Linked DNA regions of Drosophila melanogaster. The protein of the gene in region 1 interacts with the protein of each later gene in a pairwise test. Each region holds a gene or a part of one and is shown in the gene's direction. Other genes may lie near its edges.

Region 1 (7,086 bases):
GGCGCAACTGAATCGCTTGACCAGCAATCCCAGAGACAGCAGAGCAGCCACTGCCAGCGGAGCATACCAGCAGGAGATGGGTACACGCTGCTCGTAGAAATACTTGGTGACCGCCGTCAGCAGATATGGAGTGGCTGCGTAGCGCAGGAGCAGCAAACAGCCGTAGCCTTCGTGTTGCAGCTCAAAGGATGAGCTCAAGTGGTGCTCGAAAATAATGGCGTCCAATACGTAGAACAGCAAGCAGCTGGCCGAGAACAGGGTGGCAGGATCATAATTTACATTGTTCCAGTAGTATTTGGCCTGGTAGAGATAGCCCTCCTGTTCACCCAGCTGCGGCTTCTGGGGCCACACGAGCGTCTGGTAGATGTAGCAGGTGGCATAGATCAAGGTGGTCACCAGGGAGAGACGGTACTGAAACTGTTTCCAATCCACGCGTCCTAGCCACTTGGGATTGAGCTGTCTGCCCAGCGCGAAGTCCACCACAAAGCTGCCAGTCCTGCCATAATCATTGGTCAGCGTTTGGCGCAGCACATTGTACTTGGCGGTGTCCACCAGCCAGTAGCTCCAAGCAGCTGCCACAAAGGCGCCAACGAGTCCAAAGATGCAGAAACGCAGATAGTGACGCAGAACGAAGGTGACCACTGGATACTTCAGATACTCGGCCACTCCACTGGCAATCAAAAGCGTAAGCGAAACTGCTAGACAATTAAACTTGTAGGTCTCGCGGGTGAGATGAACCCTTCGTCCTGGTAGCAGTGCCACCAGCAGAAATACCACCACCTGATAGGCGGCAAAGGCACCCACCACTCGTGGCTGGAACACCTGGCGCGTTAGGTAGTTAACATCCAGTAGTATACCCAGATTGAGGTGCTTAAACTGACAGGCGTTTCTGGCCGTACAGCTCCATGTCAAATAGTAGACGGCGGTGGGCAGAAGTAGCAGGAACAGGAAGGCGCCTAGCCAACCGCCAAATTCTCTAGGAGCCTTCAACTGACGGCAGGATATTTCCGCCGGTGTGGCCGATTTACGGGTTACATTGAAACTACGGAACTGATCCTCCTCCAATTCATCCTCCTCATCAATATCCTCTTCACCCGTAGAGTAACTACGCTTGGAGGACTTCTCATCGTCGTAGACGGATCGGGACACACTCCTACTATAACGACTGCCCTCTTCGGTGTTTGTCACTGGTGTTCCAGCTAGATTTGAGATTGTCTTCGACACCGATCTGCGCAGTCGTTCGGTTATGCGTTTGCGAATGGAATCCGTGTCCACCTCGCCGTCTCCCTCGGCACGGATCTCGATGCGCTCCGTGGTTGTGGTGGTGCTGCTGGTAGTGGTACGGCTGAAGCTGTTGCCGCTGTTCACGGAGCTTGTGTTAAATGCTTTGTTCGGTGCGCCGCTGGATGTGTTGGTGGTCAATGTCATGGGCAGATTGCTGGTTGACAAACGAATAGGCGATGATACCTGTAATTTAAGATCATAAGTAAAGATGTAATAAGTGATAAAACAAAGTCAGAAACTATATAACCTTAGAAGAATATACAAAGGGACATGATTGTACAAAAATATGTGGGTACTCAAAACTGGGTTAAAGGTGTTTTGAGTACACTTATCAGATTCCCCTCTATTTTTGTAATCAGCAGTTTAGCTCAACAATTACAAATCCGTTATCTTAGCCCGGAATTTCCTTATGGTAGCATATGAGGGCAGAACTCTAAGCTGATAAGCAGGGCGGTGGGTGCTGCTTATCAGCTTCATAAAACACACAGAAACAGAAGCTCGAAATTTGTAATAAAGGTAGGACAGTTACAGTTAATTATGTAGTTTAATTGGTTGTAACGATCGAAATTAAATAGAACTAATATTTCGCTATGCTTTTATATTGAAAGCAATTGATTTCAAAATTCTAAACTGCTGATGGTTGGAATACTGATCAAATATAGCTAAGCACTTATCCACCGGCCAGCAAAACTGGTTTGTGCTGGAGAACTCACCTCGGAAACCTCTGGGATGGGTGTGCGTGCCTTGATGGCGGCCTTGATGGGCAGCGAGGAACCAGATCCCGATCCGGTCAGCGGACCCACCGACGACCTCGGCCGGCTGGAGCGACGGGTGCGCGGGCCAAGATCGGGCGAGGGCGGTGCGACGACCTTGTTGCGTGACGGGGAGGCACGTGTCCGGGTGGCGGGACCAGCGGTGGCGGTGGCGGTGGCGGTGGCACCCGCAGCTGTCACGGAGCCCGTACGTCGGGTCACCGGCAGGAGGCTGGGCTGCTTGGACTGGGCCAGAAGTGGACCGCTGGACACGTCTTCCGTGCGACGCGGGCGTCTCAGGCGTCGATCCATGGTGTATGAATTGCGGTCGAAAAAACGTGCTGCAAAATGGATATGATCAGTCGTTGTGCTCGGCGAGTGCTGCATGTTATTTATAGTTTACAAAATACACACAATCTATTAATGTACTTAAGTAACGCTGTGGTTTTCTCTAGTTTCTTTGCTTTCTTTATTTCTCTAATTTTCTGTATTTATTTGTGTTTGCGCGCCGAAAGGAAAAGCGACGTCGCTGCCGCAACTGTACATTCCGCAGGCAGCGACGCTGGCAGAACGCGCTCTCTCTCTTGCTCTCTTCCTCTTGGCTGGCAGTTTTTAAACGATGTTTAACTTAGCTTAAACAGCTTTTAACGCTTCACAACTTAGTAACTCACTTCTGATGGGATTTATTTGTAGTTTTTCACTTTATGGGGCTATTGAAACGCCGTAAATTCAGCATAAATCACTTGATAAAAAAGACGCGCGTCTAGTTGTCGGCGGATGAGAAAATTTTGTTGTAAAATGAGCGCGGCCCACTGCGTTGGTATTTTTCAGTGTTGGCTAACGCCGAACGGCGCCTAACAGCACGCAGCGTGTCGTTAACAGTGGTTTAGTGGGCACTTTAAGACAATTTAAAATGTATTCAAGGTTAATTATTTTAAAGTATTAAAAGTACTTGTACTTATTTTTACATTCCCTTAAACATTAATCGAACCATACCAATGCGCAAGTATTATAAATCGATAGAAAACTTTTTGGAGTATTTGATCTTTGCAAAGACTAACAGTACTCATTTTATTTACATATGTAGGTTATAAAGACCAAAGTTGTCGCTTAAATCGAGTTGTAAATTATTTGTTCAAGACAGAAGAATACCGCAAACTTTTCAAGAAACAAAAACATATTAATAAAATGAATCAAAACAACTGAAATAACTTCTTAAATACCTAGTTTTCTACTGATATTGAGGTAGATAATTAATTTGGCTAAAAAGGAGCTAGAGTGCCGGATCTGTAGAGTGGAAGTAGAGTGACTGTCATTCCTGGTATTATTTAGCACATTCTATATCAATCTCCTCACACACATAACAAAAGGCAGGAGAAAAATTGTAAATTATTACGGATTTCTCGGACATTTTTCTGTCATTTCCCGAGCAATGTAAGTAGAAAGCATTCGAAAAACCCAATACGCAACAAACACACGCACACAAGCCGGACGAAAATGTTGCGCTTGCCAAATTCTGGTTATTAATTTGTTATGAAAACGTCTCTCTCACGGCCGCCTTCTACCTAAAAAAAAAAAATTGGACAAACAACGAAAAACCAAAAGCAAGTGAGGCCCATTGGATCAGTTGAAAGGATTCCCCAGGACATCGCCATGGTGACCCCGCAATCGCCGACGCCCATGTTCAATGGATTGGACGATGATCTCTACAGCGACGCCAAATATGCCCACGAGATTAACGACAAGATGCGGGTTCCCAAAAGAATAAAGGCCACCGGGGAGTATTCCAACGAGGATCTGCTGCTGTCCAACCAGAACGGGATGATCAGCTCCTGGAACTATCACGACAAGATCGACATGAATGTACCGGATCGAATTGTGGTCCTGGGCCACAATCAGCATCTGGAGACGCGATCTGCTCCGCGGGAAATCCAGCTGGAGAACTCCATTCTGCCCAAGAACCCATCGGTCGGATTGGTGCGCGTCCAGACGCCACCGCGCATTATCACCCTCACCGATCAACACTTTCCCTCGGCCTCCGAGGAGAGCTCGCCCATCCGGGCCAATGGTCATCATTTGTATGGTAATGATCTCGACGAGGACGCCGACGATGAGGAGGTCCATGCCACCCAATATGTGCGTGCCAATGGAGTCGCCCGTATGGGATTTCAAGGCAATGACACCAATTCCGTTGAATCGGACTCGCAGGTGAGTAAAATATGCCATACAAGCAACAATTTTCCTTTAGTTTTTCAATTCAATTGCAAGTGCTTGTAAATTAAATCGATGGGCAGAATGAGCAACTCTGTGATTTCTGTTAAAGAGCACTTCATTTGATGGAAGTCTAGACCCTAGCGATCCACACATGACGCAATAAAACAACCAAAATTGTTAATAGATAATAGATAGATAGCGATCACACTGCGCTTGCCACCCATTCAGTTTGCAAAGAGATTACCATGCCTGCTGGTTTTTATTGAATTCCTAATACGGCTTTGATAAGACGGCTGACCCAATTTCCATCGACTGTGTGGAAACACACTCTCACTTTTTGTTAATCGCTGGAGTAGCCGTGTGCCTCCGGTCGATCCTCGCCCTCCTGTGTATCCTTAAGGCGCCTCGCAAAAGGACGACACTTCCAGATGTCCACCTCGGTGGCCAGGCACTTGCGAAAATCGAAATCGCACAGACCCAAACTGTACGAACCCTCCATGGGCTCGAAGTAGTGAAGGCCACGGCCAATCTTAATGACCACTCCCGAGCTAAGAACGATCTTGCGATCGTGCAAACTGTCGTCCATCTGGAAATTCATCTGGATGTTGCCACCGGCCAGATCGCTCTGCATTTGCTGCAGCATCTGCAACTGATTCTTGGGCGCCGTCGCATCTGGGCGCGTAGTGAGGCGAATATACTTTAGATAGCGACAGTTCTTGACCAGCACCTCGAAAAAGTTAAGCAAATTCCTAAAGTGTGGTGGCTCCGTGAGGTGTGGCTCGTTGAGATGGGCCTCCCGAACCGCATCGTCCAAATACGGACCAAACAGCCGCTGGTAGCTTCTGCCCCTGGCACCCTGCTCGATGGTGATGTGATCCAGCATACGGCTGGTGTGCAAGTGACCCTTGACCTGATCCCTCAGCTGTTTGGCCCGCGCCTCGTACATCTTCAAATACTTCCCACACAGCTGGCGGCGACTCGGCTCCGCATCGGCCATCTGGGACAATTTGAAGATGCTCTCCTCGTAGAGTAGTATCGCCTCCATAATGTGACCCGTCTGCTCGCATTTCAGCGCGCTGATTATCGCCTCCAGTTTCGGCAGCTCGCCATCATCCACTTCTGCTACGTTGGGACTGGTTGTCATTGCTGGGATCGAAAGAAATTGGTTGGCTATACAGAAAATTTCGAGTTGGGCGTTTTTTTTTTTTTCGAATGTTTATTGCTTATATTGACACCGGAAATATTTGGGGGAGCTCTGAAAAATGACTCTTGCTTCACATTGATAACAGAAAACTTTCACAAAGCAAACACTTAACATGGTACACACATCTAAATCCTATTTGGCGCAACTTATCTTTGACTACCTTATGTGTTCCAGTTGACCACAGGCAGTGCCAGCAAGCGCTCGCAGCTGAATCAACAGCAGCACAACAACCTGGATGCCTCAATGCTGGCGCACCGAGAGGGCACGCCCATGGGCGAGCTGACGCCCCACGAGGAGATCCTGTATCTGAGACGCCAGCTGGCCAAGCTGAATCGCCGGGTGCTGAACATCGAGATCAACAATGAACAGCGCACGCAGCGGGAGAAGATCGTCTACTGTCTGGGCCTGGCCTACTTCGTTCTCAAGACAATATTCTGGCTGAATCGCAACTAGACGCAATGTAGAGCCCACTATGATGGTTAGCGATCTGCGCTGGGTGCCAAGACAACCACCTTGCTATGGACACCCTTTTTGGAACAGCTTCTTTCGTTTCTTGACTTTTGTGTTTCTTTTGTGGAAAGGCTCTGAGAGAGACTTTGTTTTTTGTTTGCCATAATTTTGTAGACTAAGCTCCGTAATAAATAAGCGCAACATCGTTCTGTTTTGTACACCGTGGAAAACGAAAAAAACAAAGGCCCCCATACTTAATTTGTAAGATCTGGCACTTAAGGAGCGTGTATCTAAATCTAAGCTTTAATCTCTACGTGTTTCATCTGAGCAGCCCCCAACACGAATCCGAATCATCACAGCAGCATTGCATTGAAAAGATATTGTTTAAAAGGGTTGTTTATATTTTAGATCTGTTAACATTTGATAATCCCAAAGTGAAAACAAGAACTTTAATGGTATTTGTATGCGAAATCCCATACGATAAATAGTTAAATATATACATAAATATAATATTATACACTAAATCCCACAGAAATCATTGCATTGATTTTTGCATAACTAGCGGAAACGAAGGAAATCCATTTAGAGTGTAGCATGAATTCATAACGATATTTAAAATAAAACGTTTAAAGTACCAAAACAAACCATATGCTTCGTTAATTTTCTACCAGGAAATAAGTAGATTTCGGTTTTCAACGCATTTAAAAAATGTATTTATTTTAATTTGTTGGTTTTCTCTTTAAATAGTACGTATAGTAATCAATTAAAACTACCGATTAAATGCAATTACATCTGCTTGTCTCATCTAACTTCCGACTTCCTCTTCTGCTATACATCTTTAGCTAACAAGACGTTAAACATTAAGTTTAATGCAAAATGACGAAAAGACCTGAGCGAAATTTCGTTCGATTCATTTGCGGTGTGTGTATTGTTTTTCGTGTATTTTGTCTGTGAAGTGGATTGTTTCTTTCCCTTTTGCCACCCGATCTTCGATCAATCGCTATCATCCAACTACTTAGAGAACAAGATGCAATTGTTTGTATCTTTTTATTTATAATGGAATTATCGTTTACTTTACACAAATAATATGCAAGGGGACTACTTTTCTCTTTCATTTTCCGAACGACTCGCCTTTCCAGGCGAAACGCCGCAGGATCGAAAAAAAAAACACCTCAACGCACA
Region 2 (5,586 bases), on another chromosome or scaffold:
GCTTGGCGGCGTCGGTGGTGCCGTTTCCCGCTCCCAATCGATGACGGTCAGTCGGCGGCCCAAGAAGCAGCCGGGTCAGCCGATCTCGGGGATCTTTAAGCCCGCCACCGAGGACGGTGATCTGTTGCCATGCGAAATGGAGGGGCAGCCGGTGCCATTCCGTGGCGCCAGCACGCGTCGCAAGGAGAGCTTCCTGCGCAAGACCTTTCGAGCCACCGCAGGTGGCAGCCGTCGGCCGTTGGCCAAAGATGTATTTACTAACCCACCGGAGCACGGTTAATTGCTATCCTAAAATCTATCCTAAACATTGCGCTAATGTATACTACTTATATGTATGTCAAAACAATGTTACAACAATTGGTTGGGGCTGTACTATATTATACATTCTATATACTTTTAAACTGTAACTGATCCGGTATCGGTATCTACATATCTATGAAATTTTGTATAATCACTAAACTTTACTAGCTTTTAAGTACCAAAGCATGGCCTTAATATAGTATATATTTTTTTACCAAGGTGTATTAACTTAATGTAAGCAATCACACTTTTGTGTACATAAATATTTATAAATAATCGCATGTGTATCGCAAGGAAAAACACAATAAACTACTGGCCCCTTAAAAACAAAAGCATTAATTTATAAATAAGTACTATAATCCTAAAAAAAATTAACTAAGTTTACAAAGAGAATGCGCTTTGGGAGATAATAATAATTTACCCTCGTTTGCAAACATCCATCAAACTTACTGAAATGTAGAGCATACAAACCCCAAATCGACTCAGTAATTAATGTCAGTAAATGGGATCCAATCTATCTATCTATCTATCTATTTTCGATTTTGCTGCATGTAGAGATACAAGCGATGCGATTCAGCGGCGGACTCAACGGAACGTGGAGGCAGGTTGAGATCTAACGATCTTGAGTATTTCAAAACCCTTAGTGTTGATTTTGTGCGATGTTCAATTTATTTTGCTAGCTTTACGTTGAATTAGCCACATTAGCTTTTATATATTTAGCCTGTATATATATATATATATTATTTGCTTTTTGTACTTTGGTAGCTTTAAAACTTGTATTTTAGTTATATTTTGCTAGCATTTGAGTTGCATTTCCCGTTTGCGTTGCCAATTTGGTAAGTTTTCTTTGTATTATTTTCAATGTTTATGCTCATCGCTCGCATTATTTTATAATTGTTTCCAAAAAGTCCGCTAACCAAAGGCAATATTTTTCAGTTTATGCACGTTCATTTGAATATTGATTAATATAAAAAAATGAATAAATATTAATGAAATTTCTTTGTTTTGTCCACTTTGCAGAAATCAAGGCTCGCAAAAAGCATGCAAGTAAGTCACTCTTAAATGCAAATGAAATTTTATGACTAAGTATAATATTTTTCCATTGCAGTCGAAAAAGATTTGGGCTTCCTACGGATTGGTTCTCTGAATGTCCGGGTAAAGAAGACCACCGAGGCGTTCAGCAACTTCTTGGGAGTGGGCAATGGCAGTGGGGTGGCGCCGACGGGCTATGGCAATGGCGGGTCGGCGGTAGCAGCAAATCGCCATCACCCTCGATCTCACCGAGCCCCTCATCAGCGTCATCATCACCACGTTGGTACGACACGGAGTCGCCATCCGAATCAGAGGGCAGCGATGAGCACACCCTATGCCACGAACGGCGGCCTTCCGTCGAGGGCGAGTGTGCCCAATAGCCGGAACATCTACGATGGGGTGCACAAGTCGTGGGGATCGGCGGACAATATACCGCATCGATCGGAGGACCTAATGCCGCCGCCCAAGGCGGTGGAGTATATCAGCAAGCGGAATAAGTCCTCGAAGCGTTCGTCCTATGCATCGAATACCACCGATTCGCCGCGTGATTCCATCTGCTCCTCGAACTCCAGCTCGAATCTGAATGGTGGCTATAGCAGCATGCCTACGACCCCGAATCAGTTGCGTGCTCCCAAGGGGATCGCCGCATCCTTCGCCGTGGACTCCGACTCGGACTCCGCCTGCGGATTCGACTCAACCTGGTCGGTCAATTGTCGCGGTTCCTCGAGCAGCAATCCTTCGCAATCCTAATTACCTGAATATTGTTGTTAGCACAGTCTACATACCACCATACAACTTTTAACATTGACCATGGAATCGTGAAAGTATTTGTTTTTCAATTAACTAATATATATACTTTAAGCATTGACCATTATTTAGACGTTACATTTTCTTGTGTTTGTATCTAAAAGTTTGTATCTTAAAAGTATCCAACATTTGTTATTTCCTATTTTGTGCCCTTTTCTAGGGACATCCAATATAATGTTTCATTTAATATGTGTATTTTTTAATCGAAAATAAAGCTTGTATGCTTTTTAATGCATTTATGAATTAATTGTATTGATATTTTATTTGTTATTACTCATAATACAAATTTACCCGAATTTATTTTTAAATATCCAAATCTCAATATTTTGAGCAAAAAATTCAGAATTTAAATTTTTTCGTTGCGCGCGCACTTTTCAAAAATAACCGTTAAGACATTTCTCATAATACCGTCGAAAATACTGAAAATATGGTAAACTAGAAGACAGCTCTTCCTCTTCTCTTATTTATAAACGCTACACGTGCGGCAAAAAAAGTTTGTTGATTTAAATTTTTGAGCTGAAATAAAACACTTGACATGGGCAAAAAGGACAAAAACAAGAAGAAGGGCAAAGGGGCCGAGAAAACGGCCATGAAAACGGACAAAAAGCAGGCGGCGCGGCAGAAGAAAATGCTGGAAAAACTGGGAGAAGTACGAACAAAAAAATGCAATAACCATAACATTATGTTTACTAAACGAATAATAAACTTCACAGGCAAATATAGCTGATATCATCCAATTGCTGGAGGCCAAGGAGGGCAAGATTGAAGCCATCAGTGAATCCGTTTGCCCGCCACCAACTCCACGATCCAATTTCACCTTAGTTTGCCATCCGGAAAAGGAGGAGCTCATCATGTTTGGCGGCGAACTGTACACTGGCACAAAAACCACAGTGTATAACGATTTGTTCTTTTACAACACCAAAACCGTCGAGTGGAGGCAGCTGAAATCGCCATCGGGACCCACGCCCAGAAGTGGACACCAAATGGTGGCTGTGGCCAGCAATGGAGGAGAACTCTGGGTAAGTTATCAGCTAAAGAGATCTCCGTGAAAAGTTAATTACCATATGCACTCTACAGATGTTTGGTGGCGAGCATGCCAGTCCCTCACAGCTGCAGTTCCATCACTACAAGGATCTCTGGAAGTTCGCACTGAAATCCCGCAAATGGGAGAGGATAGCTGCGCCCAATGGACCAAGTCCTCGGAGCGGACATCGAATGACCGTCTCCAAGAAACGCCTGTTCATCTTCGGTGGCTTTCACGACAACAATCAGTCGTATCATTACTTCAATGATGTTCACATCTTCTCTTTGGAATCCTATCAGTGGCTTAAAGCGGAGATAGGAGGTGCAATTGTGCCATCTCCACGTTCCGGTTGCTGTATTGCAGCTTCTCCGGAGGGAAAGATCTACGTGTGGGGCGGTTACTCGAGGGCCGCCATGAAGAAGGAGGCGGACAGAGGAGTAACACACACGGATATGTTTGTCTTGAGTCAAGATAGTAAGATTTAGAATCTCTGATTTATATTACTTATATTAATATCTCCTGTTTCCGTTCAGAAAACGCCGGCGATGCAGACAACAAGTACAAGTGGGCACCCGTGAAACCAGGTGGATATAAGCCCAAGCCGCGTAGCAGCGTCGGCTGCACTGTGGCTGCGAATGGCAAGGCCTATACCTTCGGTGGCGTTATGGACGTCGATGAGGACGACGAAGATGTGCACGGACAGTTCGGCGATGATCTCCTGGCCTTCGATTTGACCTCCCAAACATGGAGATTGCAGGAGATCCAAACTAAAAGCAGCAGCGCTGAGAAAAAGGATTCGGAGGAGAGCAAAGATGTGGAGATGTCGGCTGTTGATAAGCCAGTGACCACCACCACGGATGGCATTTTCACGGTCACCGTTGGCGGTCCCAGTACCAGTACCACGCCATTCGTGTCCAAAATACCCAGCCTATTCGCCAAACCCAAGCCGACGAATGTGCCATCTCCGCGCATGAATCCCGGCATGTGCGTGTGCAAGGGAACGCTGTATATTTTCGGTGGCATCTTCGAAGAGGACGACAAGCAGTTGACCTACAACGATTTCTACGCCCTGGACTTGCACAAACTGGAATGGAAGGTGCTAATCCCCAATAGCTTGAAGGGCCACGAATGGGAGGATAGCGACAGCAGCAGCTCCGACGAGGAGTGCAGTGGCAGCGAGGAGGATATCTCCAGCAGCAGCTCGGACATGGACACGGATTAAGAATTTCCAGTGACTATATATTAAATTTGGTTAACAATTGTACACATGTATAAAAATGGAATATTTTCAACTGCTGAGTAAGCTCGAAATTCTCACAGCTCCAGAATCTCGGTGAGAATGCGTTGCGTATCCTTGGGAGTATATACCCTATGGCTGATGGTTCGAGGATCGCTATAGATCTCATAGTCATTGCCGCCCGGCTCCGTTTTATCGCCAAAGAAGTGGATTTCCTTGAACTTGTAGTGCGCTTCGATGTGTCGCAGGCAGTAGGTCTTGTCCCAACCATGCGGGAAGACATCGAAGCTGATCTGACCACCAATCGAGTACGTGAGATCCACATCGGCAAACTCCTGCTTCAGGTCCTTGATCATTTTCTCGCGCACCTTGTGCTCAATGTCGTACTCGGCGAACATGTTGCGCTCCTCCCGAGTGCACTGCCTGCCAATGGGACAAACGTTCATCATGCCATTCCGGAATTCGATAAAGGTGCCCCTCTTGATGGGCACATCCAGTTCGGACAGATAGCGCAGCACAAAGTTGATGAAACGCTTCACCGTCTCCTCGCCCAAATGCATGATGATATTCTGCTTTCCCACCTCCTTTCCGCCCTCAATCTGCACCAGCCCATTTTCCGGGAATATGAAGTCGAACTCGTTGAGTATCTTCCTGCCATTCAGCTGCTCGAACATCTTCTCCAGATCCGAGCCTCCGACGATTCCGATGGTCGCCCTCGGCTTAACCCGCGAGTAGAAGAACTCCTCGAACTCCGGAGTGACCACGGATCTGGGCATCGTTAACGTGCCGTCCACGTCGAAGAGCAGCAGGATTTCATCACGCTTCAATGCGGCGGTGGTCATTTTGCATTTAAATTTTGTGGTAAATCAGCAGGTGTTTAATATCCAGATATTTATGTCCACGTATGATTCGAGATAAAGAATTTTACAAGCGGCAACGCAGTGGTGAGAAATCCCCTAAAGCTTTCGATGCACCGGCAAGGGGAACCAGTTCCGGAATCCAAGTGCAATCAAAATTAATGTTTTGAATTGCCTTTTACGTTAGGTTTACTATTTAAAACAATGAGAGTATAAACATTCAAGCACAATCATTTGGATTTTCCTGCATGTATAGGTAACAGTTTAATTCATGGAGTTCATGCTGTCAGGGTACAAATAGTTTCTATTTTAATAGCAATTTGTACATT
Region 3 (4,871 bases), on another chromosome or scaffold:
TGGTCCACCACTGATCGATCCACTCGAATGCAATTGCCTTTGTTTGGTATTTTTCCCTTTAAGCAAAAGCCGACGAATGCGGAGTCGAGCGAAGAACTACATTCGATGTCATCTGCCCAAGTGGGCAGATTCCTTGGCTGCTTTAACTTAAGATGAAAATGTTGTTCGGGCATCAGACCAGAAGCTGTGAACTTCTCCATGTCTGATATACTTAGCTAATAAAATCTGTCAGTTAAGTACGGTAGGATATGGTTGATCACTAGGAAAAGTCAATTAATGCATCACTGATATCTGGAAAGGGTCAAAAAGGTATGGTACAGGAACTGCTGGCTGTGCCAGCTTCCACCGGAAAATATTTGCTTCCGTTCTTTGCCGTGTCCATTCTGTGGGATGGAAAATAAATTACAATTAAATGCAACAAACATGCAACACTCACTTACTCACTGCGGAACGCGGCGGATGTTTATTATCAAGTGGATACAACGGCGACAACCTCATTAGCTTCTGCCCCTGGTCGGTGCCCATCGATGCCATGGCTCCCATTCCCTATCCCATTCCCTCCATCCATCGCCCTTTTCCAGATCGAGCGACAGTAAAAGTGGCCCGGGCATGCTAATCCGGAAGTAGGTCATTTTCCGAACGCAAATGAAAGCGTGAGCTCAGCTCGAACTCGGGCTGAAAAGCGATGAAAATCGTAGTGATGAATACATATGTGTGCCTGCTGCGAGTGGGATGCGCTGCCATGGGAAATTGAAACCGAAAACTTCAGTGGAAAGCGAGCTTCAAATGGGAGTCGCATGCACAGAGCCACTGTCATTATAATACGGCAATCAAAATGAGAAATAAGACATAAGATTTGTATGCGAATGGTGTGACTGGGAATAAAGAAGGCTATCTTAAAGTTACTATGAAAATCATCTAACGACGTTAATAAACATAATCATAACTTCATATAGTAAGATGTGCATTTGAGATTTCAAGCCATACTAGTTAAATTTTCTTTGTTCTATTTACTTTTTGAATATAAATTATAGTATGGTTAAGTTTTAAATAGTTTATTTCTCATCAAGATTAGCTGATGAATTTTTCCACTTAATTGAATTTTAAATGCGCAGTTATCTAAAATATGTTGGGTTCCGTTCTCCTTCTAAGGTAAATTCCAGTTTGCTGTCCGTATAACACCATTCTTGACCAAGATTACAAGGCATTTACAAGGCATAAAGACTTTTGACCATTTGTGGAAAGCAGCGGCCATTTAAGCAGCGTTCCGTAGACACCACGCAAAATGCGAGCAACTTGCGCATAAATCGCTATGTTTTAAACAATTAACAGTGGCCACCTACCCAAAATGGGGGATCCAAAACGATTCACAGAGTGACCGATCGCCCACGAGATGGCCATGCCTCAGTTTTCTGAATCCCACGTTCAATTTCGCTTTCAATTTGACGCGTGCGCAGGCGCAACCTTTCAATTTACATATGTGGACATGTGGGCGAAATTTTAGTATAATTTTTTCTCATTCTAGCCGCTCTGCGGATGCTGAAAGTTTTTTCAATTGCAGTTTCACTTTTAGCTAAAGACAATGGTTCGTTTTTATGATCTGCTTTTTTTTTATTTTTCTTTAATTTGGCTTGGGAATTGCGTTTGCATCGGTAACACATATATCGTGACTTCAATGATCTCAGATATACATTGCCGGATTTTATGTAATTAATTATGTACAGCATCTATAACTACATAGCAACTATTTTAAGGTATAGTAAAAACATATTTTGTATAATTAACACGGTATTTTCCTTAATCGACCAGCAATTCAAAGAAACCAACACTTTTCTCGCTTTTATATTGTTGAAAACCATGTTAAATTGATTGTCTAAGAATTTGATATTTACATATATTATTTCAATAAATACTCGACTATGGCATTTTTCTTTGTATATTTGTTTGAACTGCGTAAGTCTTAAAATTGTTAGCCTCGACTAAAGCACCCGATGCCAAGAAGAATCTTATAAAAAAAACCGAAGATATCCGTCCGGAGGCCAGAAAAATGTATATATCTTAATATCTAGAATACTACAGGACTAAAATGTATATTCAACGAATATTTATATATTTTGATGATGTTTTTTTTTTTTTTGAAAATTGCAATACTACAAGATCATATTTATAAATATCAAGCAGAACGAAACAAGAGCCGTTGCAAAAGCGCTTATGTAACATGAAATTCGTATATATAAGGAATGCAATAATACCTTACTTCAGCTGAAGCCACTTCTTCGAAATGAACCAGATTTTATTATGCTCTCCAATTTTACGTAAGTTGACTTATGCATTTTTGAGCACATTTAAGAACGAGTATCTTTTCGTTTAGTGCTGCTTTTTACAGTGGCAAGCTGCGATAGTGAGCAACAACTCGATTCAGCTATGCACCTGAAAAGTGATTCTACGAAAAGTGCATCTCTGAAAAATGTTGCTCCCAAGAATGATGAGACACAGGCCAAAATAGCCAAAGATGATGTAGCTCTGAAAGATGCGAAAAAGGGCGATTATATAATGGATATCGATATTTCTGATTTGCCGCTGGATGATTATCCAATCAATAGGTCCAAATCACTAAAAAGCTCTTCCATTGACTTGAATAATATTCCTTTCAATAAAGGACTAGATGATTTCCCGGCAAAAGAAAAAAATCAAGGATCCAATCAAAGTGCGCTCAAGGCCCTGCAACAGAGGTTACTAACGGAGCAGAACAATAGTTTACTTCTCCGGAACCATTCCATATACTTGATGAAAGAAATAGAGGCCAGAAAAACGGATATTATCAAAGTACGACAGTTAAACCTCGATTTAGAGCTCGAGCTAAATACTGTGAACCGCAGACTTTTGGAATTGAATGGGCAACTGCAAAACACTCGAAAGTCCACAAAGCCGTGTAAGAAACGTTCTAGTAAGGATAGCGCCCCACCTGCCGCCAATCAGTTTCAGGAAGCCAACGTCAGGAACACTTACCGTAACAAATATCTAACACTTCTGAAAGAACTTAGTCAGAAGATCAATAACGAAATCGCGAAAGTCGCTACCGATGTACCCACGGAGACAAATCCTTCCCAAGGGAATCTACCAACACTTTAATAGTTAAAATCATATGGTTTCCCATCATTTAAGAACAGAAACAATAGTATTGAGTCATTGCAAGACCTTCTAATTGCGCACTTACTTATTTTTCTGATCTTGTTAGCCGTAATAAATGCGATTCATAACGCTTAGGCCAAGTGCTGGTTGGATTCTTTACAGTCTAGAGAATACGTTTCCACAATGAACTACTTCGCGGTGATCTGCATTTTCTGTAAGTTCGTAAGGATCTTCGAGGTTCTTAGAGTTTGCCTAATTTAGTTTTCATCACTTAGCCTGCATTTGCCTTTGGCAATTTAGCGATGCTGCCCCCTTTATAAGCGTTCAGTCTAGTTCACAATCAAGATCCCAGAAAGTGATGAATGGCATGTTGAGAACCCTATACGACTACAGTGTTCAGGATAGTGTGAACGATGCGACTGGGCATTTGATACAAACTCACAAAGCAGACTTCAACTCGGATGTCATGAGTCCTGATGAAATAGAGAGTGTGCGCCAGCAACTGAACATGGCATAATTTTGGATTCACCAGCAAATATCTTAAACAGCGATTATTGCATATGCTTTTTAACCGCAGTTACTTCAAGCAAAATATTATGTATCTATGCAATATGTAATATATCATTTAAAAGATATAATAACCCAAATAAAGTATTTACCATATTATAATGGACATGGACTCTAAGAAGCTTTTGAAATAAGAGTTCCGATATTTTCCAAAGCTGTGATAAAATTGTATTTGAAATATAGAGTGGGGTATATGGTATTTGTAGTTATACATATAAAATGTTATACATATAAATGCAGACGAAAGGACATAAATATAAAATACATTTTAGACATAAACTCGACCTGTGGGTCATAAAGATTCGTCTAGCTCAACTTTCACAAATATGGGATCAGTAATATGCGATACTGTGGCGCCTCTTTAACATAGTTTATACATTTGGTCAGGTTCTTTTGGTTTTTGGCCGACATTTACCTGCTTTTAGCTACCTGTGGTCCCCGTGGTGATTTGTTCGTCTGCCCTAATTTCCACGACAAAAGTAGAGTGGAATTTCGGCCTTAACTGGAATTCTGTAAAGGTAAAAGTGTTGTGTTACGTGCTATTAAAATGACCTTTCTCTGCTTGAGAGCGTCTCGTTTGACAAATTTATGAATACTTTCGGTCGGAGGATCGAACCCTTTTCTCGCTGCTTGAGTTCCAAATGCTTCCCAAATTTATGATATTTAGACGAAAATTTCTTCTCTTTTATTGCTGGTATTTGAATATCATGTGCTTCGAATGAACTTTTAATTTGGGTTATGTTCAAAATCTATCTCTTCCATGTATACTCTAAAGTTTGTGGGCCATCTTCTGACTTAATCCTTTCCAGAGTTCATTAACCAGATAACACCTTTAAATCCTGCCGAACTTTTTGTCTCTGCTGGTTTTTTGTTTGCAGTCGAGAACATTTTTACGAGTAGCAATCAGTAAATGTGTCACGTAATCAAACATGAAAATGGACTGAAATAAATTTAATATAAACACATACTTGACTGCAAGAATGATATTTATATTTAAGGAACATGACAATCCATTATGAACATAAAAACAAAAACAAAAAAATGATATGAGCTACATATATGTACATATATGTACATGCCAACACATTTTTCATACCATTTATATTGCTTGGCCAAAATACTAAAGCCTCCCAACAAAATTACTCGTCCAGAGAGGCAAAGCCGCTTTGTCA

What was found.
Region 2: the proteins of Tango11 (region 1) and CG4069 interact in a two-hybrid assay, tested with the Drosophila melanogaster proteins (one large-scale study listed by BioGRID).
Region 3: the proteins of Tango11 (region 1) and Acp26Aa interact in a two-hybrid assay, tested with the Drosophila melanogaster proteins (one large-scale study listed by BioGRID).

Annotation. Positions count from the first base shown.
Region 1 is NT_033778.4:21,716,239-21,723,324, reverse strand, and holds Tango11 (transport and golgi organization 11), read left to right. Parts: upstream 1-3,361; 5' UTR 3,362-3,470; intron 3,471-3,479; exon of another isoform or gene 3,480-3,641; 5' UTR 3,642-3,689; coding exon 3,690-4,244; intron 4,245-4,492; exon of another isoform or gene 4,493-4,590; coding exon of another isoform or gene 4,591-5,394; exon of another isoform or gene 5,395-5,566; coding exon of another isoform or gene 5,567-5,569; intron 5,570-5,628; coding exon 5,629-5,907; 3' UTR 5,908-6,545; downstream 6,546-7,086. Other genes in the region: LBR (lamin B receptor), read right to left, coding at 1-1,467, 1,998-2,423; CG30398 (uncharacterized protein), read right to left, coding at 4,591-5,394. UniProt on the Drosophila melanogaster protein: May play a role in mitochondrial and peroxisomal fission.
Region 2 is NT_037436.4:12,534,311-12,539,896, reverse strand, and holds CG4069 (uncharacterized protein), read left to right. Parts: upstream 1-2,581; 5' UTR 2,582-2,674; coding exon 2,675-2,788; intron 2,789-2,852; coding exon 2,853-3,158; intron 3,159-3,216; coding exon 3,217-3,637; intron 3,638-3,696; coding exon 3,697-4,385; 3' UTR 4,386-4,471; downstream 4,472-5,586. Other genes in the region: sowah (sosondowah), read left to right, coding at 1-275, 1,321-1,347, 1,409-2,082; Pmm2 (phosphomannomutase type 2), read right to left, coding at 4,478-5,242.
Region 3 is NT_033779.5:5,891,282-5,896,152, reverse strand, and holds Acp26Aa (accessory gland protein 26Aa), read left to right. Parts: upstream 1-2,256; 5' UTR 2,257-2,281; coding exon 2,282-2,315; intron 2,316-2,371; coding exon 2,372-3,132; 3' UTR 3,133-3,270; downstream 3,271-4,871. Other genes in the region: Acp26Ab (accessory gland protein 26Ab), read left to right, coding at 3,316-3,346, 3,408-3,649. UniProt on the Drosophila melanogaster protein: Male seminal protein which enhances ovulation in female Drosophila by stimulating the release of oocytes by the ovary following mating.